Coturnix japonica: one gene and its partners. The protein of the gene in region 1 purifies or fractionates together with the protein of each later gene. This does not show direct contact. Links are inferred from orthologs where the notes say so. Each region holds a gene or a part of one and is shown on either strand. Other genes may lie near its edges.

The links.
Region 2: the proteins of VDAC2 (region 1) and FAM162A fractionate together in Homo sapiens (co-fractionation; 3 studies listed by BioGRID and IntAct, with this or other methods). This does not show direct contact. The link is inferred for Coturnix japonica from reciprocal best matches to the Homo sapiens genes VDAC2 and FAM162A.
Region 3: the proteins of VDAC2 (region 1) and PHB purify together in Homo sapiens (affinity purification with mass spectrometry; 4 studies listed by BioGRID, with this or other methods). This does not show direct contact. The link is inferred for Coturnix japonica from reciprocal best matches to the Homo sapiens genes VDAC2 and PHB1.

The regions. Positions count from the first base shown.
Region 1 is NC_029521.1:12,472,985-12,482,197, forward strand, and holds part of VDAC2 (voltage-dependent anion-selective channel protein 2), read right to left. Parts: intron 9,161-9,213; exon of another isoform or gene 9,028-9,160; intron 8,641-9,027; 5' UTR 8,620-8,640; coding exon 8,586-8,619; intron 5,307-8,585; coding exon 5,235-5,306; intron 4,193-5,234; coding exon 4,143-4,192; intron 3,006-4,142; coding exon 2,853-3,005; intron 2,770-2,852; coding exon 2,717-2,769; intron 2,279-2,716; coding exon 2,051-2,278; intron 1,195-2,050; coding exon 1,044-1,194; intron 352-1,043; coding exon 294-351; intron 1-293. UniProt on the Homo sapiens protein: Non-selective voltage-gated ion channel that mediates the transport of anions and cations through the mitochondrion outer membrane and plasma membrane.
Region 2 is NC_029516.1:69,174,917-69,184,868, forward strand, and holds FAM162A (protein FAM162A), read left to right. Parts: upstream 1-4,551; 5' UTR 4,552-4,589; coding exon 4,590-4,605; intron 4,606-5,293; coding exon 5,294-5,419; intron 5,420-6,847; coding exon 6,848-6,956; intron 6,957-7,773; coding exon 7,774-7,882; intron 7,883-9,120; coding exon 9,121-9,216; 3' UTR 9,217-9,706; downstream 9,707-9,952. Other genes in the region: CCDC58 (coiled-coil domain-containing protein 58), read right to left, coding at 445-504, 3,194-3,340, 3,621-3,746, 4,306-4,551. UniProt on the Homo sapiens protein: Proposed to be involved in regulation of apoptosis; the exact mechanism may differ between cell types/tissues.
Region 3 is NC_029542.1:2,948,803-2,958,702, reverse strand, and holds PHB (prohibitin), read right to left. Parts: upstream 4,912-9,900; 5' UTR 4,812-4,911; exon of another isoform or gene 4,706-4,811; intron 4,355-4,705; 5' UTR 4,317-4,354; coding exon 4,229-4,316; intron 3,854-4,228; coding exon 3,692-3,853; intron 3,208-3,691; coding exon 3,065-3,207; intron 2,907-3,064; exon of another isoform or gene 2,795-2,906; coding exon 2,678-2,794; exon of another isoform or gene 2,651-2,677; intron 2,319-2,650; coding exon 2,223-2,318; intron 1,763-2,222; coding exon 1,550-1,762; 3' UTR 1,392-1,549; downstream 1-1,391. Other genes in the region: ATP-dependent RNA helicase DHX8, read left to right, coding at 5,858-5,969, 6,506-6,591, 6,786-6,858, 7,114-7,199, 7,676-7,785, 7,886-8,191, 8,419-8,563, 8,914-9,117 and 2 more.

The DNA of each region.
Region 1 (9,213 bases):
AGTGATATCGCATTAACAGGTGTTGGCATGTCTAAACAGAACAAGTTCAAAGTTAAGCTATCAAACGTGATAGTCAGCTGTTAAACAAACCACTGAGGAATATGATGCAGAAATACCATTAGACAGCATAATTTGTCTTACGTGAAGGTTTTCTGTGCAACAGAACTTATTGTCAAGTATCTACTTTGCCTTCAAGACAAAATTATTCTGTAAACTCAAAATAGTTGCATATAAATACACCAAACTTAATTGTTTGTGTCATGCATGAAAGGCATGGATGTGAAAGCCCTTACCTGGCCTCAGGGTCTGGGTGTAACCCAATCCAACTAGACTAGAGTTGTTCACTTTTGCCTGGAAAAAATAAACAAAAACACAGAAGCAATTGAAATGTTTTAATTGGAGAGTTATTATTATTAGGAGCTATCAACATGCTACATGTTCTTTCATTATCTCTGTGCTTACTAGATTGTCTTCCTAGCTATGCCTTTGCCCAAGAATATAAATCCATTTAATTGAAGACAGGATTGCAGAGGCAGGGAGAACTAATTGTTAATGGAATGTAGTTTGGCTGGTGAACTTCTCTCCACTCTTTTGAGAACACAGCAACTCATCACCAGTTGCCAAAAACAAACCACTTCGGAAAAAATCCCTTATATTTATATTATTAGAAAATAATCCATATTTTGCATATCCAATAAAAAAAGTAGTAGACATTTCAGAGTACCAACATAACAAGGATATGCAAAACGTTTTTTCCCCCGTTTTGCATCAATTTCTCTGTGGACTACTGAAATAATTCCAAGTTAAATTCTAGCTTTATAACAGAAAACTTGCCTGCAGTATGGATTTCAACCAGCATCTCTTACAAACTTCACTGCAGGCAACATTTAAATACTACTTGTTTTATTAGTAACTGCTTGGATTCCCAGTCTAGCTCTTGCAAGACTTTTGGATTAGTCATCTTCTTTTGTACTAACATACATGCTCAGAAACTGAAAAGCAGCTCTGTTTAGCATAACCCTTTTTGTTAGAATCATACTTACAGAGATAGAAGCGTTGGAATCCAACTTGTATTTAGCTGCAATTCCAAAGCGAGTGCTGTTGCTACCAGCTGTCCATGCCAGGTTTACGGCAGTTTCAAGACTGTCACTCACTTTCTGGTAAATTGAACCACCAAATTCCGAACCATCATTGCTGCATAGATGAAAAATACAACTTCTTATATCTACATAAACTCACTCTTTTTTTTAAGAAGCAGTTCAAATTTCTAGTTAAGTAAGAATTTAGAAAGTTTGTTTCCCACTTTTAGACTGGATAAGGGAAGATGAAAATGAAATTCTTATATCATGCTTTGTAGCTTTCCCCATCTCAACTTCCACGAAACCAGACAGAACAATCCCCATTCAAAAGAAAATCCATCTCAAAATCAAGTTATGACCTAAACAAACATACTAAAACAATGTATTAGATTACAGTGAAGTATCACGTTCTTCAGATTTTAGTCAGCTTGCTCTAAAGAACACCCAAAGTCTCTAACTACAGCAATTTGAAGCAAGTTCAGAATGAACTTCAGTTCATTCACACTCCAGTTGTACTCTAGGCATTTTATGCACTCATCCCATCAATACAGGAAGATGAACTTACTCAAAAAGCAGAACTATTTTTGTTCCAGAAACTGCTTCTGGCCCACTTAAATAGTGCAGCACTAATTGCTACCCCTAACAAATGGACTGCCTCCTAAATTAGTCAGATACAGCTCAACACATGGGGAAAGCTGGATAAAGTCTTTCAACCAGCTCTGCATAACGAGCTTATCAAGCTTCCAAGTATCTGGTAAACTGTAGCATGTAAATCTTAACAAGTCATTATTTAGTGTATTCAGCATTCTGAAAAAGAGACAAAGTAGTATTTATTTACAAAGTTTGATATTACAAAAACTCATGCTGCTGATGTGCCTTGCAAGCACATCTTGGTAGTTTAAACGTGTATATAGAAGGAAGGCAGAAAAAAACCTGCTTTTGTAGAACAGGACACAATTACCAGTACTTACACGTTGGTGTGAAGTTGGAAATCTCCAGTCTTGTAACCCACAGAGAAGTTATTCCTTGTCAATTTTGATTTGGCACTATCAAAAGTCATTTGATAGCCCGCTAGCCATCCTTCATAACCAAAGACAGCTGAACCATGGATTGCAGGCCCAGCAAAATCAAAGTCAACATCACAACCTAGGTTTAGGCATTCACGTTTATATGCTGACTTAATTTTACCACTTTTCTTTCTGAAATAGAGAAACGGTTAAGACAGTTTGGTTATTCTCAATGAGAAGACAAATTTGAGCCACATGCCTCAACAGAATGCACCTAAATGCCATGCATATATATCCAAAAGACTGATCCAAATCACAGGTAACTCAAACTATTAAAAAAAAAAAATCATACCATAGATGCGTTGTGATGAAGGTAGAAACACATTCACATCTCCTGCAATAGTCCAACTAAATATTTCTATCTCAGAAATCAAGAGAAACAGACAGTTGAAGTGTCCAATACTAAGCCCCCAGGATAAGATCCAGTGTGGAAAAGCAGAAGTCTTTAGCACGGGGGTTTGCTAATTTGGACCAATAACAAACATCTGCTGATCTGACACACCAGATGGAACATTTACCAACCACATGTGTAGCATGATACACAAGGTAAAAAGGCAAAAAAAATCTTACCCTGTATTTGGTGAGAAAGTTGTATCAAATGTCAACTTCAAGCCTTTGGCAATCTAAACGAAGAATGAGAAAATAAAGCTATAAATTCAGTCCTGCTAGTTAAGTGAAAGAAAGGAATACTCAGCTAATCTATTACCTGATCTTCAATTGCAATTTCTGTTCCCAGAGTGTTATCTGTGTTCCATTTTTCTGTGAAAGTCAGCCCATACTCAGCCCACTTGTATTTGGTCTCCAAGCTTCCATTCACTTTTCCAGTATCTGTGTTCGATGAACCAGATGTTGTGAATTCCTAGAAAGGACAGTGACTGTGTTATACCAAATAAATATGTGATCCTGAAAGCTTTACAAAGTGACAGAAGAGAAAGACCTTTCTTCACTGAAGATCCTGTTCTATATAACATCAGATAATTCAGGGGACAGCAATGTAACATGGATTAGAAGAACCAGATGACTCACATCCACATTACAGACTTCTCCCTTCTCACCCTCCATCTCAAATGCAGTGTGTACTGCTATTACAAAATAGAGGTTTATAATGCAACTCAAAAGCAATACAAAAGCATTCTTCTCAAAAAGAAGAAAAAAGCTTTCCAAAATAAGGTTAAGTCTGGTACTGTTGAGGGCGGGGAAAAAAGAAAAATCAAACCAAACAAGGAGTCTTTAATATAAGTTTATGCACATTCTCTTCCTGGGAAGGAGGTGTTGTAACTGAAATGGGATTCACACAAGAGCTTGAATTTTGCAGTAAGTTTTAGCAGGATAACCACTAGACCTTGACAGAAACAAATGGAAAAAGGACTACATCTATAATAGGACCCTCACAAACAGTGTTTCTTCTGGAATGCAGCCCTCTACAAATAAATAGCACATAACCCACACACCTTGTATTTATACAGCCAGTTACACAGTTAAAACTTCCTGCTCTTGGGGGGCGGAATCTACCTTTACATCTTGCAAAGTCTGCTATAGAAACAGATGGAAGTTGCAGGAGATACTGCTTGCATTACCAAGATATCTACCACGGAACATAACAGCATTTGAATACCTTTTAAAGGAAATGCACAGCGCTGTTTCACTACCAACTACTTCACACATGGAGTAAGATGTCAAAAATTTAGACAAAGTTGCATGTTAAACAGCAAAAATGGTGTCAAATACTTGTTTAGGCTTATCATGAGGGAAAGCTAAGAAACCATTTTATTTTACAAAGATTAAGACAGCTTTTTTGTTGTTTTTTGTGATATTTGTAATAGTGGTATTATATTCAAAGTGAAGTCAGAGCTTTAGGTGCTCCTGAAATTTTCATTAATAGCATTAATATAACCTACAAGCTACTTGATGGTATCTGGAAAGTGCTCACATATAATTAAACAAGCATGCAAACATTCAGCCCCCAGAAATACAATGAAAAAGTACTTAAACTCACCACTCCACTTGCAGATTTTGTCTTCACATCCAGTTTCACCAGTCCAAACCCTTAATAAACAGAAGTTACATTTTAAAAGTTAAGCTTTAACTAAGACTATGCAGATTTTCCATGGTGTCGGTTTTCCAACATGTGCACGTATATATACACACATATAAGCATACACATAAAAAACCTAGCATAGGCTGGTTTTAATGCTTGAATTTCAAATGCTAAAGCAGTAGAGGTCATTTTAAGAACAAACTAGGAGTTCTGTCTGTCATCACTAAAGAATTAGCAAGGAATAGCCTCTCTTGTATATCGTACTTATTACTAACAAAAGATGGCTTCCAAGAGTAAACTTAGTGACAGACAGAGTACATTCTCTTGTTCCCTGGATGGCACCTACTCTGTACTCAATGCCATTTAAAGAGCAACCCTATTGCATTAAGTCAGCACTAAGGTCTCAAAGAAAAAGTCTGAATGGGGAGTCACGAGGAAATACACAGCCACCGGAACATAAGGACTATGGGAGAATAATTTCATTTTCTTACACTCCAACTTGAGTGATAACCCTGGTGAATGAGCTCCTGCAATAATTCCTAAAGACCTGAAATAAACAGCACTGCAACTAAGCACTTGTTTATTTTTAAACTACGCAACTGCCTACTTAAAAACTTCAGAGAATTCTTTCAGGCTACTCTTTCCTCTTCTGTTCCAAAAAAGAAAACACCCCAACAACAAAACCACACTAAAGTTACATTGGTATATATACATTTGTGTATCAACAAATGCATTTGCACAAAGATCCATAAAGGAAGTGCAAATATAGTCCTAAGCTGTGTAACAGTGGATGTTTCTAACCTTGCACACTGTCACAGCTCTTTCCTTAACATTAATGGGATTAATGCAGTAAGGTTTAACAGACCTCATATCAAAATAGCTCACAAAAAAGCCTCCGCTGGCTCATTAGCTGATAGAAATGTTTTAAATGAAGCATACTCTCCTCCCTTCCGAGAAGCACAGGCATTTGAGCACTCACTGAACTCCACATACATGCTAAACTAAGTCAATTAATTGCTGCAGCGCACTCAATACACTACATTGACTCACCATATCCTTTGTTGAAGACATCTCTGGCAGATTTGCCAAGGTCTGCGTATGATGGAGGAACCGCCATTGAACCTGAAAGGTAATGGTGTAATTACAATTCAATCTTTTACTACACACACATACAAAAATGCTACCACAAGAGTTAATGGTGTTCTTTAAGGCAGATTCATACATCAGGGTATTTACCAGTCGACAGATAGTTCAATTACATTACGTTGTGAAAAATCTACAGATTTTCTGATAATCGTGAACACTGAACATTTTCTTGGCTCAGGTAGCCCATTTATTGTCAAGGGGCCACCACAGAAATCTTTATTTTTCAAATAGTTTTATTCCTTACATCTTTAATTATCACAAACCAACTGAACGTTCACTGAAAACCAAGGAGTGAGAAATATGGAAAGCTGCACTGGTAGATGTTTCTGTAAGTTTTACAAAGTCAGGTGCTTATGGAAGTTATCTGAGAAGACCCATAATGTTTCATTTTCAATATGAGAAAGTGTGCGTATTTGTTTTGCAACATCACTTCCCCCGTATTTAAAATGGTCAAGATAAGATTTGGAAAGGATCTTCAAAGGCTGTTAACCAGCAATTATTCAGATGAAGATCTTTCCTCCTACACAGGGCAAGAGTTTAAGTCCTGGGGCAAAGGTGGGAAGGGTGAGCACCTTGTTAGCTTAGCAAGTCATACAAGCGAGAAAGGGAAATGGACTTCTAAGGAGAGCTCTTCTCAGACAGAGCTTCTGGCAAACTCAGTGTTCAAGAACCTGTCATTCACGTCCAGATCTGACCCAGCTTCCCTGGCCTGCTGGATGCCAGTCTAAGGTCCCACACAGATCTGCACGACGCTCCTCCTCCCTGAAAGGATACTCGCCATCCATACCTTCCTTTGGTGACTACTATCCTTCTATTTCAATACTAAAATGCCAATATTAGAGGCAGCCTATTCCGAATTTTAAAATAGAGAAAACAGAACATATTTCGCAAAGATGGTGATTTCCCCAAAAGGGTCACAAAAACAAAGGGGAAAACACTAACACTAGCTAAGAAAGCATCATAAAAAAGCCTCCACAATCAAAAAATCCTTCCTTTAAAAATTGCCTAAACAAAAATTTAAAAATCTTATTTTAAAATTAATTGGTCACACGTGCTTTTCTGGAAGACAGATGAACATAATTCACTATCTCATTCCTCTGTGGGTTTTGTTTCAAAAAACACCTTCAGATTCTAAAACAAAGATCATACTCTTGTATATTAATTTTCAACTGAACACGCTTTCCATTCTTATAAAGCACTTTTAACCAGATTTCAATTATCATCCTCTGACTATAGAATTATTCACCTCCTGCAGATCTCTACAAGTTCAGTACATTAGTCACATGGGATCAAAGCAGGCTCTTCCCTCCCAGCACTCCCCCATTTTTTTTTAATTAAAAGTCTGTATTTTCTGGCCTTACCAACAAAACAAGAAAACTTGCTTGAAAACACCTGTCCCAGAATTATTTCCAAGGGCACCATTCCACTAAAGCAGACTGCTTAACTACAGCATCCACAAATAATATACACTGATTATAACTGCTATGTGCAGCTTAACTGTATGAACTAATACTATTTTAAAAACATTTATTGTACAAAAAAGGTCTTGTGCCTTAACATTGGTTTCCTATAATCTACTACAGTTTTTCCAGGTGCCTCTCTCCATCTTCCTAAAGCCCAAAAGGAAAAATTCAACTGCATCATCGCAAAATCATCCAGGCTTAGCTTAGTTTGAAAGAAAAACCAAGAACCTCTTCAGCAAGAAACGCTAAACTCTACACAGAAGTCAGTAAAGGAATCAACCCAGCACCTGCTGGGGAGTATAAAACAAATCCGTTCTTGCGAGGAGTAAACTCTTAAAAAAATAAATAATAATATAAGCCTAAGGAAAAGATGATTCAATAGCAGAAACAGATGTGAGTCCCAGTGATGAGACAAAATGGTTTCTATGATTTATTCAATAAAAAGTAACAGAAGCAGGACAAAACTTGAAGAAAGTGTGGGAGCACTGGTCTTCTCTCACTCCAAATCCCTGGTGTCCAGTTCATTAGTAGCTTAAAAGGGCTTTGAGAAGTTTCAGCTATGTACTCTTCCTCTGAGTAGGTCCAACTACCGTCTCCAGAAGAATAATTATTACTAGTTCAGAAGTATCAAAATGCATGTCTGTGCTTAAGGCTACTACATATAAAAATATATGACTGTATGTATAAACTTCTTTCATCTTTAATGTTCCCAAGCTGACTAGATATTCATCATAGACAAGAGATTTATGCTAAGGCCCTAAAGTTTAAAAAATAATATTTTTAATTGCCTGTAACTAAATGTGTGGAATTACTGCAATAAAAGGATACTGCTGTTTTTATCAGGCCAAGTTAAGCATCCTCCCTACTGCAGGAAACTGACTAATCCTTGTCAGCCATTCCAGCCTACAGGCCCAGGTTTCCTGATAAGGAGTTAAAACAGCTTATGACCTTCACGTTGCTGTTTCAATTCATACGCTGACAGGGACACAAGAGGAAAAAGCAGATGTTATTTGGGGGTACATAAAACACCCCGTAAGCCGGGGTCACCACCAGAAAGCTCTTTAAAGGCCAAAATATATCAATTCTGTTTCTTCCAGTGTTGAAAAATTCACTAGATTTGCAAATCCTTATGATGAGAAGCAATTTTATTCGAGCATGTTTTGAAGCGTCTTTCATCTTCTTACTAATTAGAAGCACCTAAAATAAAGCTACAATTTAATTACAAGCCTGTTGTGACAGTAGATATCAAATATCCTAATTTCAGGAACATAGAAAATACTTATTTCAGGTAAGCATCCCACTTTTTCTTTTTATCCCCCTTTCTATATAGACCTAAAAGAAATAATCTGCTACTTAAATATACTTTCTTCCAAAGCAAAAAGAAAATGAAATGCCAAGATGTGTGAAGGCTGTCACAAGTATTACATCACAGCTTTCTTTCGAGGCAATACTTGGAAAGAGCCCCACACTTAGTAATTAAGGTATGCCAGTGGCTTCAATAACCATTTCCAGACCTCAGGACATTGAGGATCAGCCTAGAGGGCACAGAATTAGGAACAAAATACTTAAGTATTATGTATTAAAATATATAATATTTTTATTATATAAACTTTTATATATACTTTTAAACGGCAACAACTAAAGTGAAATTGTATCCTATCATTGAAAATAGCAATAAACCGATACTGAAAATACCGTTAAAAACATGTCCGATCTAACGCTGACCTCCTTTACGCTTACGGAGCTACTAAACGAGAACTACTACCCTCGCTGTAACTACCTCCCTACTTACACCTCGACGCCTGGCACGCGGACGACGTAGCCATAGCTAGGCCAATGCACAGACTCTACGGAGAAGGGAGAGAGAGTCAAACAGCGCTCGGTTCGCTCCGTGCTCACAAAACCGAAGCAGCGCGGATCCCCTCTCGCTACGGGCCGGGCCGCGCGGCGCCCGCTGCCGCCGCAAGGTGAACGCTCCGCGCGGCCATCTTGGGCCTCGCGCCTGACCCCCGGCGCTACGGCCGCCCCTTATGTAACCGCAGCCCGGGCACGGCCGAGGCCATCGCGGGCGGCGGAGCGTCCCGACCCCGTCCCGATCCCCCCACACCCCGTCCCTCCCGACCGCCCCCAGCGGGACAACGAGGAACGCGGCCCCGGCCCCGCTCACCGCCCTTCGCTCGCGCCCCACCCGCCTCCCCCGGCACCGCGGGACGAGCCCAGCCCCGGGCCGGCACCTGGCGAGCGCGAGAGAGCGGCGGGGCCGGGCGGAGCGGGACCGGGGGCGCGGGCGGGTCTGGCCGTGAGGAGGCCGCGCTGCTGCAGCCGCTGGCACTGGAGGGCGAAGTGAAGGAGACACCGATCCGCCCGCCCGCCGCCGCCCCGCAGGACCCCGGTCAGAAGGGGCCGTCCCGCGAGGTGCC
Region 2 (9,952 bases), on another chromosome or scaffold:
TGATGAAACAAACCTAGGTCTCAAATTCTAAAGCTGAGATTAAGAAAGGAGTAAAGCATCTGGAGCCATAGATCCAGAAGGCGACACCAGAAAGCAACAGCAGGACTGCCCTGCACACTGGGATCATCCATCCAGGCCTGCAGAACAGACATGCTTACCAAGTCCCTAGCCACTGAGTAGGGCTGAGAAGGGGATCTATGTGGGGAGCATTCTACAGTCCTTCTTCCCTACTAGATCAGCCTCATTTCTTTCCTTAACAGTGCCTCTGAAAAGCCCTGAAATCTGACTGAAAGCCCTGAAATGACTGACCTGAAACACTTGCCCAAGCACTGCCCACACTGTTCCTAGTTAACCTGCCTCATAAGCATTTGTCCCACAGCTCTAGGGCAGGACAGCACAAACCCATGGCACAGAGCTACATTGCTTTCTAAAATGATGAATTACCTTCCAGCTTCTGTCATTTACCACTTCTTCAACATTCAGCTCCGACTGCATCAATTTCAACTGTAAAAAAATAACAGACAAACAAAGAGGTTATTGTCAAGATGTTCCTTGCAGCCATCAGTACTCGCTACCTCTGCAACTTCTGTGAGAAAAACCCAGTACCAGGTGCAAACTGAACTTAATCATCCTGAAAGCCTGGTCCTTCCATTCAGCCAATATTTTGGGCAGGTTAAGGAAGTCTGCAAGGGGCACAAGTTACTACTGGTTATTAATTCAGTCTTAAATATCTCCTGTCAGGATTTGATAGAATGAACTGATCAGCCTTAATGTTTCCACAGACAAATATTACTTGTGGTTGAATAGCACTCAGCACCAGGGATAGCAGTGCTGTGCTTAGCTTTGTAGCCTTGAGTTCTCAGTCTTCCACTCACATATTACTGGAGTCAAACAAGATAGTTAGCAACAGAATTAGGGGAAAATCATAGATTTCTGATTTAGAATTAAGATCAAGAAGGTATAATTTTATAGGAAGTCCCCCAGTTTGTATCACTAGCAGTATGAGAGAAGCACAAATAATAAAGAGTAAAATAGATCTGTATTGAAAGCAAATAAAAATGTATTTGAAAGGCATAGTCTTAAAATAGGAAATGCGCTGTCAAGAGAAATTACCTAAAAAACAGAACCAACAACAAAACTGAACTCCTGGAGAAGGAAAGGAAAAAGGGAGGGGGTGGGGGGGGAAGTGTAAATTTGAGGTCACTTGACTGAAGGATTTCTGAGATGTTCACCAATTATGGATGATAACCTGTAGTTATTAAACATCACTGCAACCTTCTCGTTGGTTTTAGTGATAAGCTCAGAAACAAAGTGATTTAAAGAACTGACTGCAAACAAAACTTGCAGAAAATTCTAAGCTATCATACTAGCTTTCCCAAAGTATCACTGAATCAATCAATTCAAGACCTCCAAGATCACCCAGTCCAACCATCCACCTATCACCAACATTTCCCCACTAAACTACGGCCCTTAGTACAACAGCTACGTGTTCCTTGAACACCTCCAAGGATGGTGACTCAACCACCTTCCTGGACAGCCCATTCCAGTGCCTGACCACTCTTTGGGAGGAATTTCTCCTAGCACCCAAGCTGAGCATCCCCTAGCACAACTTGAGGCCATTCCTTCTCATTCTGTCGCTAGTCACGTGGGGGAAGAGGCTGAGCCCCACCTCACTACAACCTCCTCTCAGGTAGCTGTGGAGAGCTTCTCTCTCCACTGAGGCTCCTCTTCTCCAGACTAAAAAGTCCCAGTTCCCTCAGCCTCTCTTCTTAAGACCTGTGTTCCAGATCCTTCACCAGTTTCATTGTCCTTCCCTGGACATGCTCCAGAGACTCAATGTCTCTCTCATAGCGAGGGAGCCAAAACAGAACATCGTACTCAAGGTGCAGCCTCACTAGAGCTGAGTACAGAAGTAATGGGTGGATGCTCATTTTAAGTTCTGAAAGTTAAGACTTTAAGGGCAAAACCACTTGCCTGACACTTGGTTCTTCAAATATGAGTTGGCATCAGAGCACTTCTCCAAAAGCGAATGTCAAATAGTTCATTCAACGCCTGGAAATATCAAACGATGGACACTCACCCCTTGAGTTCCAGTCATCCCTCCAGGAAGTTCAAATGCATATCACTGCTCTGGAAAGAAATGCTCTTTCAAACCTCTGCTATGCCATCTAGCTCACCTCTGGTGAAGAACACCTTTCATCCAGAGGCTACGAGGCTGGGGCTCTGCACATTACAATCCCTTGTGCAAATCCAGAAGTCCCTCTCACACAAGCTAAACTAAATACTAACAACAACAACAACAAAAATTGCTTAACTGGAATTCAAAGCTTCCTGGCAGCTCCTCAAAGTGGACAGGAACCTTGATTAATACAACGAATAAGATGCTTCTCAGGCTAATGGTGAAGAAGGATGGCTTTAAGGCAGCACAGCTGTATGGTACAAGAGATAAATGTAAAGAACACTTCATTATCTTCTAGTGATCGTACCTCGGCACCTACAGCCACCATCTGCAGTCGCACTATTTTTCACAAGAACTCAAAAAGGCAAAAGAAACCTCCAGACATGTTGAAGAGAGTAAATAGTTACGTCCTTCTAAGAGACGTTTGTCAGCAAAGTTTAAAGTACATCTCGGTAGTGGAATTTCAGAAGACGTGCCATATACAGGATAAAAGCAGTTCTGTTCTGTTCTTATGGTTCTCACAAATCCAGCCGATAAGAACAGAGGCAACACTGCCTGAGTTCCACTGCCTAAACTGGGGTTGTTCAGCCTGGTGAAGGGTGGCCTTTCAGTATCTAAAGGGGGCTATAAGAAAGAAGGGAACAGACTCTTCAGCAGCATCTGTTGTAGCAGGACAAGAGGAAATGATTTCAAACTACAAGAGGGCAGACTTAGACTGGATACAAGGAAAATCTTTTTTTGCAATGAGTGATAAAGCACTACAACAGGTTGTCCAGAGATGCCCCGACCCCGGAGACACTGGAAATCAGGGTGGACATCGCCCTGACTGAGTTGTAGATATCTCTGTTCATTGCAGGTGATTTGGACTAGATGGCCTTTTAAAGATCCCTTCCAACACAAAAAATTGCATTCTGTGAAGTCAGCATCCCCTTCAGGTTCTCTCCACCAAGGAGATCTTTCCATACTGGAAGACAACCCCCATCTAAGTGACCTCTCAAGATCTCCACCACTCACCTTTGTCTGCTCTTTCCTGAGTTGCTTTAATAACGCTACATCATCCTGTGCCTTTTCCCTCTCTTCTCTGAGAGTTTTCACTACACTGGAAGTCTGAGCAATGCAGTTTTTGATGATTCTCTCTCGGCTGGTGTGAGCTTCCATCAGCTAAGTGGGAAGAGGGAAAGTCACAAGTAGGTCAGACATCAAATTAAAGAAACTTTATTGAATCAAAGTATTGTTGTGCCTACAGAACTCCCTTTGTCTCCATAATCCATATGTTAGAAGCAACACTGCTTTAAGCAGTAGGTACTAACTTGGTCTGATGGTAAAAGTTAAAGATACGCATGCAGATGACATACAAGCAAGTATTTTTGAGCACTTTAGTGGGCACCACGCACTGGAAAATCTCCATAGGTGAGCAGAAGTTAAAGGAACAGACACTTACGGACTCATAGAGCTCTTTACATGTCTGGCTGGCGTCAACTTTCCCTACAAAGGAGGCTGTAGGAATTGTAGTGTTTAATTCATGGACGATTCTGTCATCGATCGTCCTCATCACCCTGAGCAACTCCTGCATTAAATAAAAACAAATTTCAAAAACAAACTGTTTTACCCAAGAGAATTGTCCTGCAGAGCCCACAGAATCACAGAATGACCTGGGTTGGAAGGGACCTCAAGGATCAGGAAGGCTGCAGCCCCAACCTGCTCCATGTGGAAGCAGCAGGCCTCTAGGAGGACTCATAGTATTGAGAGCAGCGCCCACAGACCGAGCTGAGCCACCACACTTGGAGCAGCCCACGGGCTCCCACACGCAGCCTTACTCCATGAAGCTGTGCAGCCCGGTCACGTTTAGCTACGAGCCCTATGGCACAGGCTCTCCCGGCGGGCAGGGCAGCGCTGGGGCAGCTCATCCTGCTCCCGGCTGCGAGGCAGGGAAGGCCGGAGCCCCCATGTGCACGGTGAGGGTGCTACCGAAGGGCGGGCGGGCGGACGGGACAAGGAAGGGGGGCCCCGAGGGCACAGCGGCCGGGCGGTCTCGCAGTACCGCAGCTCACAGCAGCCCGCAGCCCCGCACAGCGCCCCGGGCTCGGCCCCGCCGCCCCGCAGCGCGATCCCGTCAGCGGCGCTACCTGGAACTCAGCGAAGTCCTCGCAGCTCACCCCGCTGCTGGGCGCCGCCATACTGGAAAGGCCGAGGGCGAAGCGGCGGCCAATCGGGGGGGAAAGGCGGGGCCAAGCGGGGCCGGGCGGGCCCTGCCTGGGGTTGGAGTGGGGCTGGAGCTGCCGGAGGTCGCCGTCGAGCCGCGGGGAGAACGGGCCTCCCGCCGCCCCCCTCCAATCGCCGGGCCGGGGCGGAGCGCTGCGGAGCGGTGACATTGAGGGGAGCTGTGCAGGGCTGGGCCGAGAGCGGCGGCATGTGGGGCCGAGCGGGTGAGTGGTGGGGAGCCGAGCTGCCAGGGCTGAGTGGGTGTCTGTCCGTCCGTCCTCCCTTTGGGCCGGGGGACGCGTAATGTGGAGCTCGGAGCCTCCGAGGGGTCCTGGACCCGGCGCGGCCCCGCAGCACGGGAGGTGAGGGGCCTCCGGGCTGAGACACAGACGGGAAAGGAACGGGCTGCAGTGCCTCGTTGTTGCTGATCATCTGAAGACCTTGAACGCTGCTTGAATTTATTTCAAGTACCCTTAAGGGCAATTTATTTTAAGTACCCTTTTATCTTCCAGTTTTTTGTTTTGTTTTGCTTTCTCGCCTGTGTCCGAGTAGATAGGTTCCTTGACGTGATGTTATGTCTTCTGCAGGAGAACCCGCTCGTGGGCTGTGATCGCTCACTCTTGTTACTCTATATATGCTTAAACTCGAGTGATATATTTTAGGATTTGTAAAATTGACTTTAATTTCTTTATTAGATTCGGATGGTTCGTGCAGTCATCTTTATTAGATTTCACGGATTATTATATCTGTAGTTTCTTTCATAGCAGTAGATTTGTACCTACTGTTCTTGTTTTCTCTTGGGGCTGTGCGGGGGGGGGGGGGGGAACAACCTCCTACCTAAAAGCCAACCTCCTCACTGCTTCACCTTCTGAGTTAGACCTACCCGTTGTGTTTCCTCTGCTTGCTCTTCAGAGAAGGCTGTGAAGCTGCTGGAAAGAAACATTCCCTGCTTTCTGAGGATGAGTCGGGGAGTGGGGCCGAAGGTGAGCAGGAGGCTCTGCAGCAAGCCCCAGGAGGAAAGTCCAGTTCAGCCAAGAGGTGAGCTTGTGATAAAGGCCATGCTACGTTTCTTGCTGTTTCTTGTTACTGGTCCCCTCCTTGAGTTGTTGACGCTGGATCAAAGGAGTGTACAGGTGTGAAGCAATGAAAAACCCCTCATCTGTACCGGGGTAAGATCAAGAATCTCTTTAACATCGTTATGTCTCCAGTAATGGATAATAAAGGGGGTGACCCTTGTGTTTTTGTAGGGACTAAAAGGAATGGTGATGCATAGCAAGGATCTGAGGGGGAGTGTTCCCTACGCTGCTTCCCAGAGACAGAGTCTTGGTGTTTAATGGTCCTTGTTGGATTTTTGTTCTGTAAATTTGTGAAGTATTCTGAGGTTGAAACTATTTTTAGCACCCACATCCTCTGGGAAGGGATTCTTCAGTTCAACAGCACTGTGAGAAAGTATCTACTCCTTATATTTGTTTTTGAATCTGTCATATGCTGTTTTTCCTCTGTTCTTCATTCAGTGCTCTCTCCAAAGCGGTGCCATTGTGGCCCACGTTCACAGCATCACTTACAGTGCTGGTGCCCTCTGTTGTGCCGGAGGGGAACTCAGTTGGTGCTTTTCCAAGTTGATGGGTTTTGGTGTCATACAGTGTTTGTTCTATGGCAGCTGCTCCACACCTGTGATCGCCCTTAGGAAATTTGACTGTTTTTGAGACAAAGGCCCACTGTTTCACACGCTTTTCAGAGTTGTGTTTTTGTACAGTGACATAATAACTCTTTTGTGTTGCTCTCTGTTCCTTTCCTTATCTGAAAGATGGTCAGGCAGTGGAATGGGCTGCCCAGGGAGGTGGTGGAGGCACCGACCCTGGAGATGTTCAAGGAACGTTTGGATGTTGTGTTGAGGGCCATGGTTCAGTGAGAGCTATTGGCGATGGGTGGATGGTTGGACTGGGTGATCTTGTAGGTCTTTTCCAACCTTGGTGATTCTGTGATTTTGAGCATTTTGTTTATGGAGGTTGAAAGCCTGAGATGAAAATTAAGGATCTGGTCTTTGCTTATGATCACCTGGTTGTTTAGACAAATACCTACAAATAAAACATTCCTGACTCCCCGGAAAGCTTAAAATTCTTTGATGCTACGGAACAGGATGTTGGCTTTTCTATAGCAGTTCCATTTGTTTTCTTTCAACTAACGCAAAAGTAGTAGGAAGGCTCTAATGTCACAGTTTAGGAAGCTTAGATGCAAATTTAGAGCTGCAGAAGAGAGATTGTGAACGAGATTTGGCTTTCCCATCTAATCAACCCTCAGTTTAATCCATGTTCAGAGGTTTATTAATCTGACCATGCGATAACCTTTTTGTTCTGTAACCAACGCTAGGAATTGTACATAAAATTCTGCATTACTCAATCTAACCAGTTAGGGATTCAGCTTTTCTGATTGTCTTTTTTGGCCGGTTGGCTGCTTTTATTGTAGGTCGGCCTGTTTTGCGGGTGCCTGGACACAAGCCTACAGAGTGGGAGAAGAAATGTTTGCTGTGGGCAGGTCATTTCAAGAAGCCAGAGGATATACCGGAGGTCGTCTCGTAAGTGCCAGTTTCAAAGCTGAGAAAGTGCCATTGCCTGCACAGGAATAAGTTATCTGAATGCAAATCCAAAATACCTTTTCTGAAGGAAAATGGGTTTCTACAGCTGCTGTAATTGTATCATCTTGTAGATGAGGTTACGTGACCTGGAGAATTCTGGATTGCTGAGCTGATTTAGATGTAAATCATTTAGATTTTTCCTGAAGGGATGACCAGTGTCTGTCAGTTGTTTCATTAGTAAGACATCACGTCCATTAATTTTTATTCATCCAATCAAAAAAGATCTTTGCAAATACTAGCATGAGCTTTTTCTTCAGCTCAGTACTCTGCAATGGTGATCAAACCACTCTTGTACTCCCCTCCAAAGGAAAGACCAAAAGCTTTTCAGTTTTTATGTCCTACATGACTTACCATGTCAAACCATCCTCACGTCATGGGTTAAAACATGATGCAGGATTCCACATTCAGTCATGTTAGTGTAAAGTGTTAGTATCCCAGTCCTGTTAATTCCATTATCTATGTTAGTCTTTGGATATAATTATTTTGTGCCATAATGTTGATGCTTTTCAATTCACCTATAATTTCATAGTATGCTAAATTTAATCAGTGAGCATATTAGACTTCCTTAAGAAGGGAATCATCCACTCTAAGTTCTGCAAGAAGAGTTAAATATATAGGAGCAGGTCGATGGTTAGTATGGAAAGGATGTGTTACACTTCATTGGTCCTTCTCATAATACAAACTTTCCATTTCCTGTAATTAAGATTTGGTAGAATGATCTTCCAGTAACGAGTCTGTTCTTTTATTACTTCTTGAGGCTTGACGCAATCCGAGCAGCACAGACCACACTGCGGGTGAAGTTCAGCTACGTAATGATCGCCTTGACAATAGTGGGGTGCATAGTGATGGTGATCAGAGGGAAGCAGGTAAGTGTAAATTTTTGGCTGGTGAGTACAAACGCATCTTAACATAAATTCCTCAGTTCCTCCTTTGGATTCTTAGAGCTGTTTGTCCTTCCAGTTCCCCAGAAAGTAATGCTCACTGATTAATTCCCAGGCCAGAAAAGGGTGATATCACTGTTAGACTGTATGTACTAAAGCAGTCTTTTTCTCCCATGGCCTTCCCACCCCAGCAAAATACTTAATCTTATCTTGCGCTGCTTTAACTCCTCAGTTTTGCTGACAGGCTGCAAGAGTTTGAAAGGAAAAGTAGTTTTCTGTTGTTAATCTGGTAGATGGGTAAATGTTCCTTGGTCCAAAAGGATCCATGCAGTTAATCGCGTGGCAAACTATTACAAATCACTGTACCCCTCTATGCACTGCAACAGCAAATAGGAGCATTTCTTCACCCAGACTGAGAATTGTCAAAGTCTTTAAACAGTGGTGAGGTAGGGCAAGCACTAATTCTGTGCTCTTTAATTGCATTAGAAAAGTCTCCTTTTACTCTTAATAGTACATTTATTTTTTTTCAATTATTGTTTAATTGAAAAAGCTGAATATTTAATAGGAAAGCCCCCAAGTGCTGTAGACACTGAGCAACCATCCTCTCTCTACTCCTAGGCTGCCTTTCCCTAAAGCCATTCTGCTGATTACAATGTTTCACTCTTCTTTCCGTTGACAACATTTTTAGGTAATGACTTTAAAACTGAGTCTCAATGCCAGCCCTGTAAATCATTGAAGTGCTAACACTTCTACTTGTCTGCATTCACTTCTCAAAATACAAAAGGATGCAGCACTGAGATGAATCAGTGGAAAGGTTTCTCCTTGGTGTCAGCAGAAGAAATCAAAGACTAACAATTCCCATAAGTTCTTCTCTCAGAGTATGAACACGAACACTGGAAAAGAGGACAACTCCTTTGGGACCTCAGTTTTCACAGCAGCTGTAGTCTATTATATTTAATTTTTTGTTTGCAGTACTTCTGAAGATGAGATTAGAACTAAATACTGACCATAAGCACAGAATACATCTGCTTGGGCTATTAACAGAAGGGCTTAACTTGTTCCCAGAGAAATGAGTTGAAACTAAAATTATCTGGATGCTCAATTTTAACCCTCTCTTTTCCAGTTATTGCCTTGGTGAGGATAGGCAAGATATCTTGTAAGCAATTCATCTGCGTGGTCCTTTAGGTGACGCTTTCTACTCATGCTTTGTCCTTATTTTGTAGGCAATAAAAAGGCACGAATCTCTTACAAGCATTAATTTGGAGAAGAAAGCTCAATGGAGGGAAGAAGCTTCTCAGAGCACATCTGCTAAACCTTAGAGGAGAAAAGGAAGAAGCCACGAATGGAGGAAGAATAGCTAAAGTCCCATTCAGCTCCTTTTCAGCGAGTTTCATGTATTTTGTGCTCAGTACTCGTGTTCAAGAATGAATGCATTATCCTGTAATCATTAAAAACAATGTTTCCTTCCTGGTACCTTTCCTCCAAACCCTTTCTCAATTCCTGTAACTTTATTTCATTCACTAACTGTATAACGACTCATTACTTCAGTTGTCCACTATCACTGACCACTCCAGCTCCCTTCAGGAAAAATATGTATTCGGTATTTACAGGCTCCCAGTTATTAGGCAAGTCCTTGACTTGAGAGTAATTGCACTACATTAACACTGTCAAAATGATTCAGAAGTCACTGGAAAGCTTGCTTACTTACTCTAGGTCCCAAATATTCTCGCCTAAGAAGAGGAGAGACAATGATAGTGAAATAGCATTCCACAGAAACAATGTGCTGTAAATAAGAACCATGTTTTCTGATGTAGTTGTGGGTTTGTTTTTTTTTTAACAATGGAGTTGGAGACCAGTATTTTTTCCTTCTTCCAGTTCCAGATTGGGGTCACTGTGGCTGTTCAGATGTATTTTCCAAGGACTGCCTGTTAACTGGTCCCCAGGGACTCCAGAAACAGAAGAGGCTTGTTTGACAGATGTAGTTTGTGAATATTTTGCTACCATGAGGCAGAGCAGGCTCACACGTATTTTCCATTCAGTTAATACCTAGAGGAA
Region 3 (9,900 bases), on another chromosome or scaffold:
TAGGCTGGTTATCTGTTAAATAGGAAGAGATTGGGTGAATGCAGAGGAAATCAAACAGTTTCCTATTTGTTTATCCTGGCCAAAAGCTTGTTTAGCTGGTCTGCATATTGCTAGCAGGCTAGCCCAGCTGCTGTGGTTAGTGCAAAGCTGAGCTCTTCCACTAGCATGAAGGGAAAACGTAGTAAAGCCAAGTCTCTGGGGGGAAGGGAAAAAAAGAGTCCCCCCCACACCCTTCTTTGGAAGTTTGTAGACAAATCAGAGCAGGGTGGGCTGGGAGATTTCACTATGGGTTGTAAGGCTTTGATGTGTGAAGGTGGCAACCAAATGCTGCTCTTTGGTCTAAAGAAGGAGATGCATTCTGGCACCTTTGCCAGCACAGAGGGTTACATTCCTCCTAGTACAGGGCCCTGCAACAACCTCCCCCCAGCAGGTCTCTTATGTTGCTACAAAGCAAAGCCACCTTGGGACCGAGGTTAGAAGGTGACAGGCATTTGCATAGTTCAGTATTTTCTGTATTTTATAGGGGATAAAACCTGCAGATGGCCTGGAAACAATACAGTCAAATGGTTATCAGTTTTACTAGTGCAGCCTGGCACAGGGATTAAATACTTCTGCCTGCTTTCCAGAGCAGTGCTGCCTGTTAAACAGCTTTTATACTGGCCTTTTTTTTCTCCCTTGGCTGGGGAGTGTGCTACTGTGTGTGCTCTTCTCCAGGTCTGCTCTGTGCATCCTCTGCCCAAGATCTCTTCTCCAGGCAGGTTGAGGCACAGCTTGGTCCCCACCACGTGCACATAGAACTGCTACTGCCACCATCTGGTGGGAGAGCAGCATAGCTGCCGACCCCATCCCTTCTTCAGTTTGCATTCGTTTTGCTCTTTGGAAAAGCTAATCTCATGTGCCCTGCTGAGCACTCTTTTTCAGAGTGAGACTGTCACATCCACTGACCTTGGTGAAAGAAACGAAGCTACACAACAAAAGGAGAAGTGGCAGGGAATAAATCAGGATCACTCCCAGACAAAATCTGCTCTGTCTTTCCAGCTGTCACAATTCATAAATAGCAAAGCCACTACACAGCCAAGGTATCCTCCTTCCCTTAGCTAACACCTGAGAAAACACTGGCTTGACTGAAGAGCCACTCTTCCTCAGCATCTGTTCCACAGTTCAAGGACCTGCAACTTTGTAACAGGCAGCATAAAGGCACTAAATATTGGAGCAACACATGGTACAAGCACTGTGATGTTCGGAGGTCACTGGGCCACTTATATGTGCCCAGAGACCAACAGAAGAAAGCTCCTTTGCACCGACTTTTCAGGAAGATTGAGTTCTCAAACCTAGCTTAATTAATTGGTCAGTGAAGCCACTACTCTGACAATACATGGAAAGCACACAGGTTTGTTCTGAAGCATGTTCAGTTTTATTAAAGAATCCTAAATCAGTTGAATTTTCATTTTCTCTGCTTTACCCAATCAGGAAAATGCAATGATTTTTCTGCAAAGAGCTGAACTGGCAGGTAAAGGTGATCGGATTAGCTGTGGCTGCAGAGCCAGGTTCACTGCGGCAACTGGAGGAGAACAGACTGTCCAGAGGGCAAGTAGGTGATGTTGCGAGACCTTGAAAGCTGGTAAGCAATATCTTCAGCTGCCTCCAGCTTGCGTAGCTCAATTAAGCCATCACCTGCAGTAGCTAGCGAGTTGGCAATCAGCTCAGCTGCTTTGGAGTCTCCCTCAGCTGAGATAACAGCTGCTTTCTTCTGCTGCTCAGCCTGCAAGAAAACAGGTGAGAAGAAAAATGAGCAGAAAAGGAAACAGAAGGAAGATGCTACAGGCAAGCTTTAAGTATAAATTCCCCCTTCACCACTCTATTGTTCTTTCCTTCAGAAGACTTAAGAGAGCTAAACCAGGTGGTTGTATGTTAAAGCTGTGCATATACACATATATACACAAACACATATTTGCCTATTGTGGAGGGGATGTTTAAAAATCGACTTGAAATTGTCTTATCTTAACCTCATGAAACAGCAGCTCGCCTAAGGGCACTCCTGGTGGACAGCTGTCTAGAGAAGATTTGAGCACTGAACTATATTAGCATTATGATTCTGAGTGACACCTGTCATATACCTGCCTGGTTTCCTGGGCAGGTGACTAAAGTATTCACTGTGAGAAGAAATGACTGAGATACCAGGAACTACTTCCAAGCTAAAGTTTCTCAAAAGAATAAAGTACCTTTTCCACAATGAACCTGGCTCGCTCTGCTTCTTGCTGGGCCACTTGCTTCATTTCAACTGCTTCGGTGAATTCCTTACCAAAGGTCAGATGGGTCTGCAAGGCAGAAATCACAGTCCACAACAGCATTTACAGCAACACTGCTACCAACAGCACATGTCTAAGGCAGGAGGCGTTTTGCCTTTATCAGAGAAGATGGAAAGTCAGTATCGCTAAAAAAAAGAATGCAGTGTAACAGAAACTAAACCTAGCAAGCTTTCCATCCTTTTAAAAAACAAAGTCTATAGGTGGCCAGTGACACAACCAACTACTTTGACTTGAGCTGTAACCACTGCATCATGTGCAACTGCAAACAAACAGGGTCCACATACACAAGCTTTCACACCTCTTCTCCGATCCTCTACCAATTTTCTTCCCTATTTGCACAGGGAGAAAAACTGAAAGGGAACTCTTACCAAGGACACATCATCCAGAATGAGGCCAAAAGTTGCTGCTCTCTCTGTGAGGTCTTCGCTCACTTGCCTGGAGACCAGTTCTCTTTGAGTGATCAATTCTCCAGCATCAAAGCGAGCCTGAAGTCAGGATGGACAACAGTGAGAAGAAAGCTCTCAGATGCTCTACTTGTCACCCAACTTGATGAAAATAAAGCCAAGTAGTTAAAACGACAGAGAAGCAATCAGCATAGATACAGTTTTAACTCTTCTGTATTGCACATTAGAGCCAAGGGGTATAAAGAGAAGCCTCATTTTAGAGCTTCACATTTTCCACAATTCAGCACGTCTCATTAGTGCTAAAACAAAAGAGAAGCGACAGGTTGACCCCAGCATTTGTGCTGTTCTTACCACAACAGATTTGAGGATTTCAGTTGTGATGGAGGGCAGGACACGCTCATCATAGTCCTCCCCAATACTTGTGAAGATCCGGGGTAGCTGCGCAGTCACGGGTCTGAACAGGATACGCAGCGTGATGTTCACATTCTGTAGATCTGCAGAAACAGGCACAAATTTAGCATTAAACCTTATGGGCAGGAGATATACTGAAGCTGTCCCCTCCAGAGGAAAGCAAAATAAGACAAACATTCAGACTTCTAACAAAGGAAAGGTTTGTAGTATTTCATTAACCAAGGACTATATTTCACATAGGGATCCAAATCCTCCTTACAGATTAAACTGAAGCTTCAGTTTGTCTGTAATGCAGGGAATTACCCTACAGTAAACACAGACTTTTTATTTAAAGGATAAGTATCAAACTATTCCTGACTGCTAAACTCTACACTCATAGAATCTCCATGTTCAGAGATAAAACCCTCATTCCTATAGTCCTCTAGCACGTTAATGATCATAAGTGTCTTCAAAAAGCTTTTTCTCATGCCTCTGCCCACCCAGCTCCAAAGCAGCAGAAGAGTGAGACACACACAGTGCACATCAGAGTGCCTGGATCTTATAGAGCTGCCCAGTCCCAAACCTCACCTTTGCTGCCAGTAATGACAGGTATGTTACGTGGGCGAGAACGGCAATCAAAAATGATCGGTTTCTGTACCCAGGGGATGAGGAAATGAGTTCCTTCTCCTACCACCGTATCCTGGACTCCACGGAATCGATCAAAGATAACAGCTCTGTGTCCTGCATCAACTGGAAAAGAAAACAACATAGATTCAGTAGCATCATGAGTTATATCTGCACAGCAGCAAAACTTCCATAGGGACAGTCTATGGAGGTTAGTTAAGGCTTTTTGCTATGTAAAAATGGCAAAGCTATTAATATTCTTAGGAATAACAAATCAAAAGAGAATACTCATCCATTACCACTGAGCCCTCAGCCTGCTCACAAGAGAGTTGTGTTGAAAAAGCCTGAATTCCTCCTACTTATGCAATGCACAAGGTACAAAACAGCCCTGAAAGAGGCTTTATCACTGTCTTCCCCAGATACCACAAGCAATAAAAGCACAGAGCAGCCAGATAATAAGGACATAAAGAGAACTGGAAACACTCAGCCTGTCCCACTCACCATTATATAGAGCAGAATTGACGACTCCACCTGCAACAGCCAACCCCAGGCCGAACTTCCCAATGCTCTCAAACACTTTGGCAGCCATTTCTCACGTGCTGTTCTAACCCCTTTATGATGAACCTCCTGCAAAAAAAAAATCCCATAACTTCGGTAAAACTATAGGAAACGAGAAAACCAGGCAGCCCTAGTGTGTACCTAGAGCTGGGATGGAACCCCAATCCAAAAAGCCCACCATGAAATGGGATCATTCATTATAATAGCAATTTCTTTGCCCCTCAGCAGCCATACAGGCCTCTCCACTCCCCCCCCCCTTATCACCTTGGACTCTGAACCCAAGACCCCACATCCCCCCCTTCCCCCCCCCCAAAACCCCTCGAGGAACCCCACACCTCGAACCCCCTTTAATTCCCCATTCTCCCCCCCTCCCTCCTCCCACCCACGTTTCCCGAGGCCTCTGACTCTCAGGACACAGACCTGGCGGGTGAAGGCCTCGTTCGTACCCTCAGCCCCCAGCTCAGCTCCAATACCCCAAGACCCTCCGCCCCCTCCCACCCCACTCTCCTCCCGCAGCTCCCCTGACCTCCACATGAATCCTCGGCCTCCCACCCTACCGCGCATGCGTGCAACCTCAACACGCCCTCTCCCTATTGGCCCGCGCTTTCCACGAGGCATTCTGGGACTTGTAGTTCTTCGTTGTTATTGTAGTTACAGGGTAGGACACAACTCCCAGCGAGCTTCGCGGCGGTACCACATGCTGAGCAAGGCTGCTTCCTATTGGTTGTTTAGCTCGCTGATAGCAATGAGCCTCTGGGCCTGCAACCCCAGAGCCGGGCAGGCCCAGGCAGAGGAAGGAGCTTAATGCTTAACACAGACCATTGACATTGAGGCGCAGTGCTATTTTATTTAGCTCTTAGCTTTAGCTGACATGGCTCCTTGTGCTGTACACAGGCGGTGCTTTGCTCTGCTTGTTGTGGTCTGTGGTCCTCACCATTGCTGCATGTACTGAATAGCCTATAGATGCAAAGGGAAATTACTTTGGCTTCTAAACAGATGGATCTCAGCTCTTTGAGGCAGCTCCTTACCGTGAAGCGATTGGGCAGCCTGGCACTTGGGTTGGACGCTTGATGACTCGGGCAGCAGCAACGATACGGCTGAGGCTCTATAATAGGAACAAGGTAGAGCTGAGTAGAGCCCAGCCCGGCTCTCAGCCCTTCCTTTAACCCCAGGGCCGCTTTCTGCTCACCGGGAGGCAATGCCTGCGTCGGGCTGTTATCAATACCGTGCCTCGTATCCATTCTAGAGCAGCCCGCGGACTGCAAAGTACATATGGGGCTATAAGAGCCGCCCTAGCTCCGTTCCCCAGCCCTTCCCTCGCTCTACACACACCCGTATTAACGCGGCCCTGCGCCGCTCCAGCGCGGCCTGCCTTCGCCTCGCCTCCCAGTGCAAGGCCGACATGGCGGCGGCAAGCGTCGCCTAGCAACGGCCACTTCCGGCACCCCCCAGCGCTGATTGGATCCGGACAGAGCCGCTCTAGCTCTCTATCCTCTCTATGATCAGCTTGACTTCCGGTGCTTCCCGGATGCGGAAGTGGCTCCTGGTGTGTGGGGTGGGGGTGGGGGAAAGATGGCGGACCTGGCGGCTTTAGAGGAGCTCGCCAAGCTCGAGTATTTATCGCTGGTCTCTAAGGTCTGCACCGAGCTTGACAACCACCTGGGTATCAACGATAAGGATCTGGGTGAGTGAGGTGGGGTGATAGCTGTGGGGAGGTTGTAACCGGGCCTGACGGCCATGATGCCTTCAACGAAAGGCCTTTGGAATTGAGAAGAATAAAATATATCTCTAAAAGAAATATTATAAAACGTTTAGATGTGAGCGCCTAGAAGGGGATGCTGCTGTTCTGTAGGTAGATGGATCGATCTGGGTGCTGCCCTTGAACACCTTGGAGGTGTTCGAGACCAGGTTGGACAGGGCCCTGGGCAACCTGATCTATGGGATCTATGGGGTCTCTGTGGGGATCTATGGGGTCCATGGGGTCTCTATGGGGATCTATGGGGTCCATGGGGTCTATGGGGATCTATGGGGTCTCTATGGGGATCTATGGGGTCTCCTGGGCAACCTGATCTAGTAAATGTGTATGTTTGGTGGCCCTGCCAGGCAGGGGGGTTGGAACTACATGATCCTTGAGGTCCCTTCCAACCCGGGTCATTCTGTGATTCTGTGTGATTCTGTGCCCTTGTGCTATTTGATTCACTTTGTGCTCTTTCTTTGTAGCCGAATTTGTGATCAGCCTCGCCGAGAAAAACACGACGTTTGACACGTTTAAAGCCGTTCTGCTAAAGAATGGGGCTGAGTTCACAGTAAGTGAGATCTGAATGTGTTCTGTGTGTTCCTTTATCAAAGGGAGATATAGGGATTGGCTATACTGCAGGGCTATGCAATATTCAGCCTTTCAATCTTTGCCCTGTTGTTTACCCCCATATTGTGCTTTGTAATAATGACCAAAAGTGATGCTATCACCTCTTACATCTTAAACCTTCTATTCTGTTTGCAGGATTCCCTTATCAGCAACTTGTTGCGTCTCATACAAACGATGCGGCCTCCATCAAAACCATCTGCGAGTAAAGGTGAGTGAAGTCTTTTCTTTTCCCTTCCATCAGTTCAGTTAAAAAGAAACAAACCCAACCAAACTGTGCTCTCGAATCCTTTGCAGTTTGTGTCTTGTGTTTGCTGAGGGCAATATATTTAATATTCTAAAATAATAAGATCCGTATTAACCTCTATATGTGGCTGAAAGTTTAACATTCAATTTCAGAAAGGCTGAGATGAAATCATTTTGACTCTTACAAACTATCTGTTTGTTTTGTTCATCTCCAAATCAGAGGCCGTTACCAAACCCAAATCGGAAAAGGAAAGATTGAAGGAATTATTTCCAGCCCTTTGCAGGCCAGACAATCCCAACGTTAGGGTAAGGTCATCATTTCAGTTTCCTTTAATGAGTGTGTGAAAATGTAGTTTGTGGCTCTTTTGGTGTCTCTATTTCAGGTTTTTCTTCACGTTAGCATTTATATCTCCAGCCAAAGCGTGGATAAGAGCAGACTGAGAATTAAAACATCAATGAGCCCAAAGGCTGATATTATTGGATGTAATCCTTAGGAATAACTGTTACCAATAGTTACTTCTACAAACTTATATTCTGTAACTCAATAGTAATTTGAGGTGCTGGGTTGAAGGGATCCTTTATGTAGAAGCAGAATTGGTCCACTAATGTGGCAAAATAGCTTTATTACATTTAATATTTGTTCTTATCATGTATTCTGCCTGATCTTTTCTTTTAAGTTTGTGTTTCTGAATAGAAATGCATGAGATGATTTTTTGTAGGTGAATTCTCTGTGATGGATTTTTATCTCAGCTGTCTTATAGGATGATTCTCTGTTTTTGCAGACTATGCTGGATGAAGATGATGTGAAAGTGGCAGCAGATGCACTTAAAGAACTTGAAGCTCTGATGCCTAGTGCAGACAAGCAAAGCAAACAAAGGAGCAGTGACCACCGGTATGTTATTAGTTCATTTTTAAGGGACTGGATATTGGCAGTTAATGTCTACTTGCTCTTGTCGAATTTCAGTGTTAATATATTTTGTTTGTTTGTTAAGGGCAAAGAAAAAGAAAAGAAGCCGAAGCAGGAGCAGGGACAGGAAACGAAGGCACAGATCTCGCTCTAGGTCTCGTTCCAGGACTCGGGATAGGAACAGAGGTAAATCCAGATACTACTCGAGGAGCAGGAGTCGAAGTAGGGACCGTAGGGATCGAGACAAGTATATTGAGAAGAGCAATGAGAGATGGAGAGACAAGCACGTAGACCGTCCGCCACCTGAGGAGCCTTCCATTGGAGACATTTACAATGGGAAAGTCACCAGTATAATGCAGTTTGGGTGCTTCGTGCAGCTGGAAGGACTGAGGTATGTTATAATATTTACAATAAATCTGGTACCATTTTATCTCTACTTTTTTCTGTTGGGGTCTTAAAGAGGTTATGATGCTACAGTAGAGACTGTTAACTATTTTTACAAAGAACAGTGAACATCCACAGACAATCAGCTCACAACAAAATATTTTAATCCAGACTCTGAATGATCTGAAAGACCATCTGAGTAATAATGTTCAATGTCTCATGTTTTACCTACAGGAAGCGTTGGGAGGGCTTGGTCCACATCTCTGAGCTTCGAAGAGAAGGACGTGTTGCCAATGTTGCTGATGTTGTGAGCAAAGGACAAAGAGTGAAGGTCAAAGTGTTATCCTTTACTGGATCCAAAACGAGCCTGAGCATGAAGGTATGGAATTGTCACATCACACAGGATGTGGAATCCATTGTGTGGTGCCTAGTGTAGAAATTATGGGATGCTAAGATGTTTACAGTTTACGTTTCTTTTTGTTATCTTGTTACTGAATACTAACACGTAACCCTTCAAGTCAGATACAACTGTAACTCATTTTTAAGTGACTCATTATCTTCATTATATTCATTTTCTTTGGGTTCTTTTGTGTGTGTTTCTGATGTAATAATCCAAATAGGTGTTTTTGATTTGACACTCATCTGAATGACTGACGAAACTTTAAGCTGTTGCTATGCTTGCCCAGATGCAACGTAGATAGAGCTGACTAATTAATCTATCTGATGTAGGATGTTGATCAAGACACTGGGGAAGACTTGAATCCAAACCGGAGGAGAAATTTGGTTGGAGAAACCAATGAAGAAACCTCTATGAGAAACCCAGACAGACCCAGTCACCTGTCCTTGGTGAATGCCCCGGAGGTGGAGGATGATACCCTGGAAAGGAAACGCCTCACCCGAATTTCAGACCCAGAGAAATGGGAAATAAAGCAGGTACGTTTTGTCTTGAGGGGGTTATGGTGTCACTCAGTAAAACTGCTAAGGTTTTGTGGTCTAAAATACAGCGCCTAGTTTAATTTATACCTTGACTTTAAATTGCTACTTTCTCGTGGGACTTTTTGGCCAGCTGTCCTATGTTAGGCAGAATGACAGAAGGACTGTTCTGAGGCTGGATGATATGGGGAGATGTGTTCTAGAATGTGGGAATATCTCCAACAAAAGGAGTGGGCTTTTGTCTTGAAACTGGAACATTCCTTTGTTACTGGCTTACAAGTCTGACAGTATCACTAGAACTGAGAACTCATGGATGTAAGCTGTGTTCATATATATTATATATTGTATTCATATATTCATATTGTATTCATTCTCTTACCAGATGATTGCAGCTAATGTGCTTTCCAAGGAAGAGTTTCCTGACTTTGATGAGGAGACTGGGATACTTCCTAAAGTTGATGATGAAGAAGGTAGTATTTCTAAGTAGTCTTGTGGTTCTTAATTCCTTATGTTTCTGGACATGTTTTGATGCAAAATGAATGTGAAACATGCTACAATTTTCTTAAACATTAAGAACTTTCTATTAAAATTACCACTTATTGATTTTAGATGAAGATCTTGAGATTGAGTTAGTTGAAGAGGAACCACCATTCCTTCGAGGTCATACTAAACAGAGCATGGATATGAGTCCTATAAAAATAGTAAAGGTAAGAAGAGATTTCTAGGGTTAAAGACACTTTATTTAATTGATTTATTGAGAACACTTGAAATCTTAATGTTTTT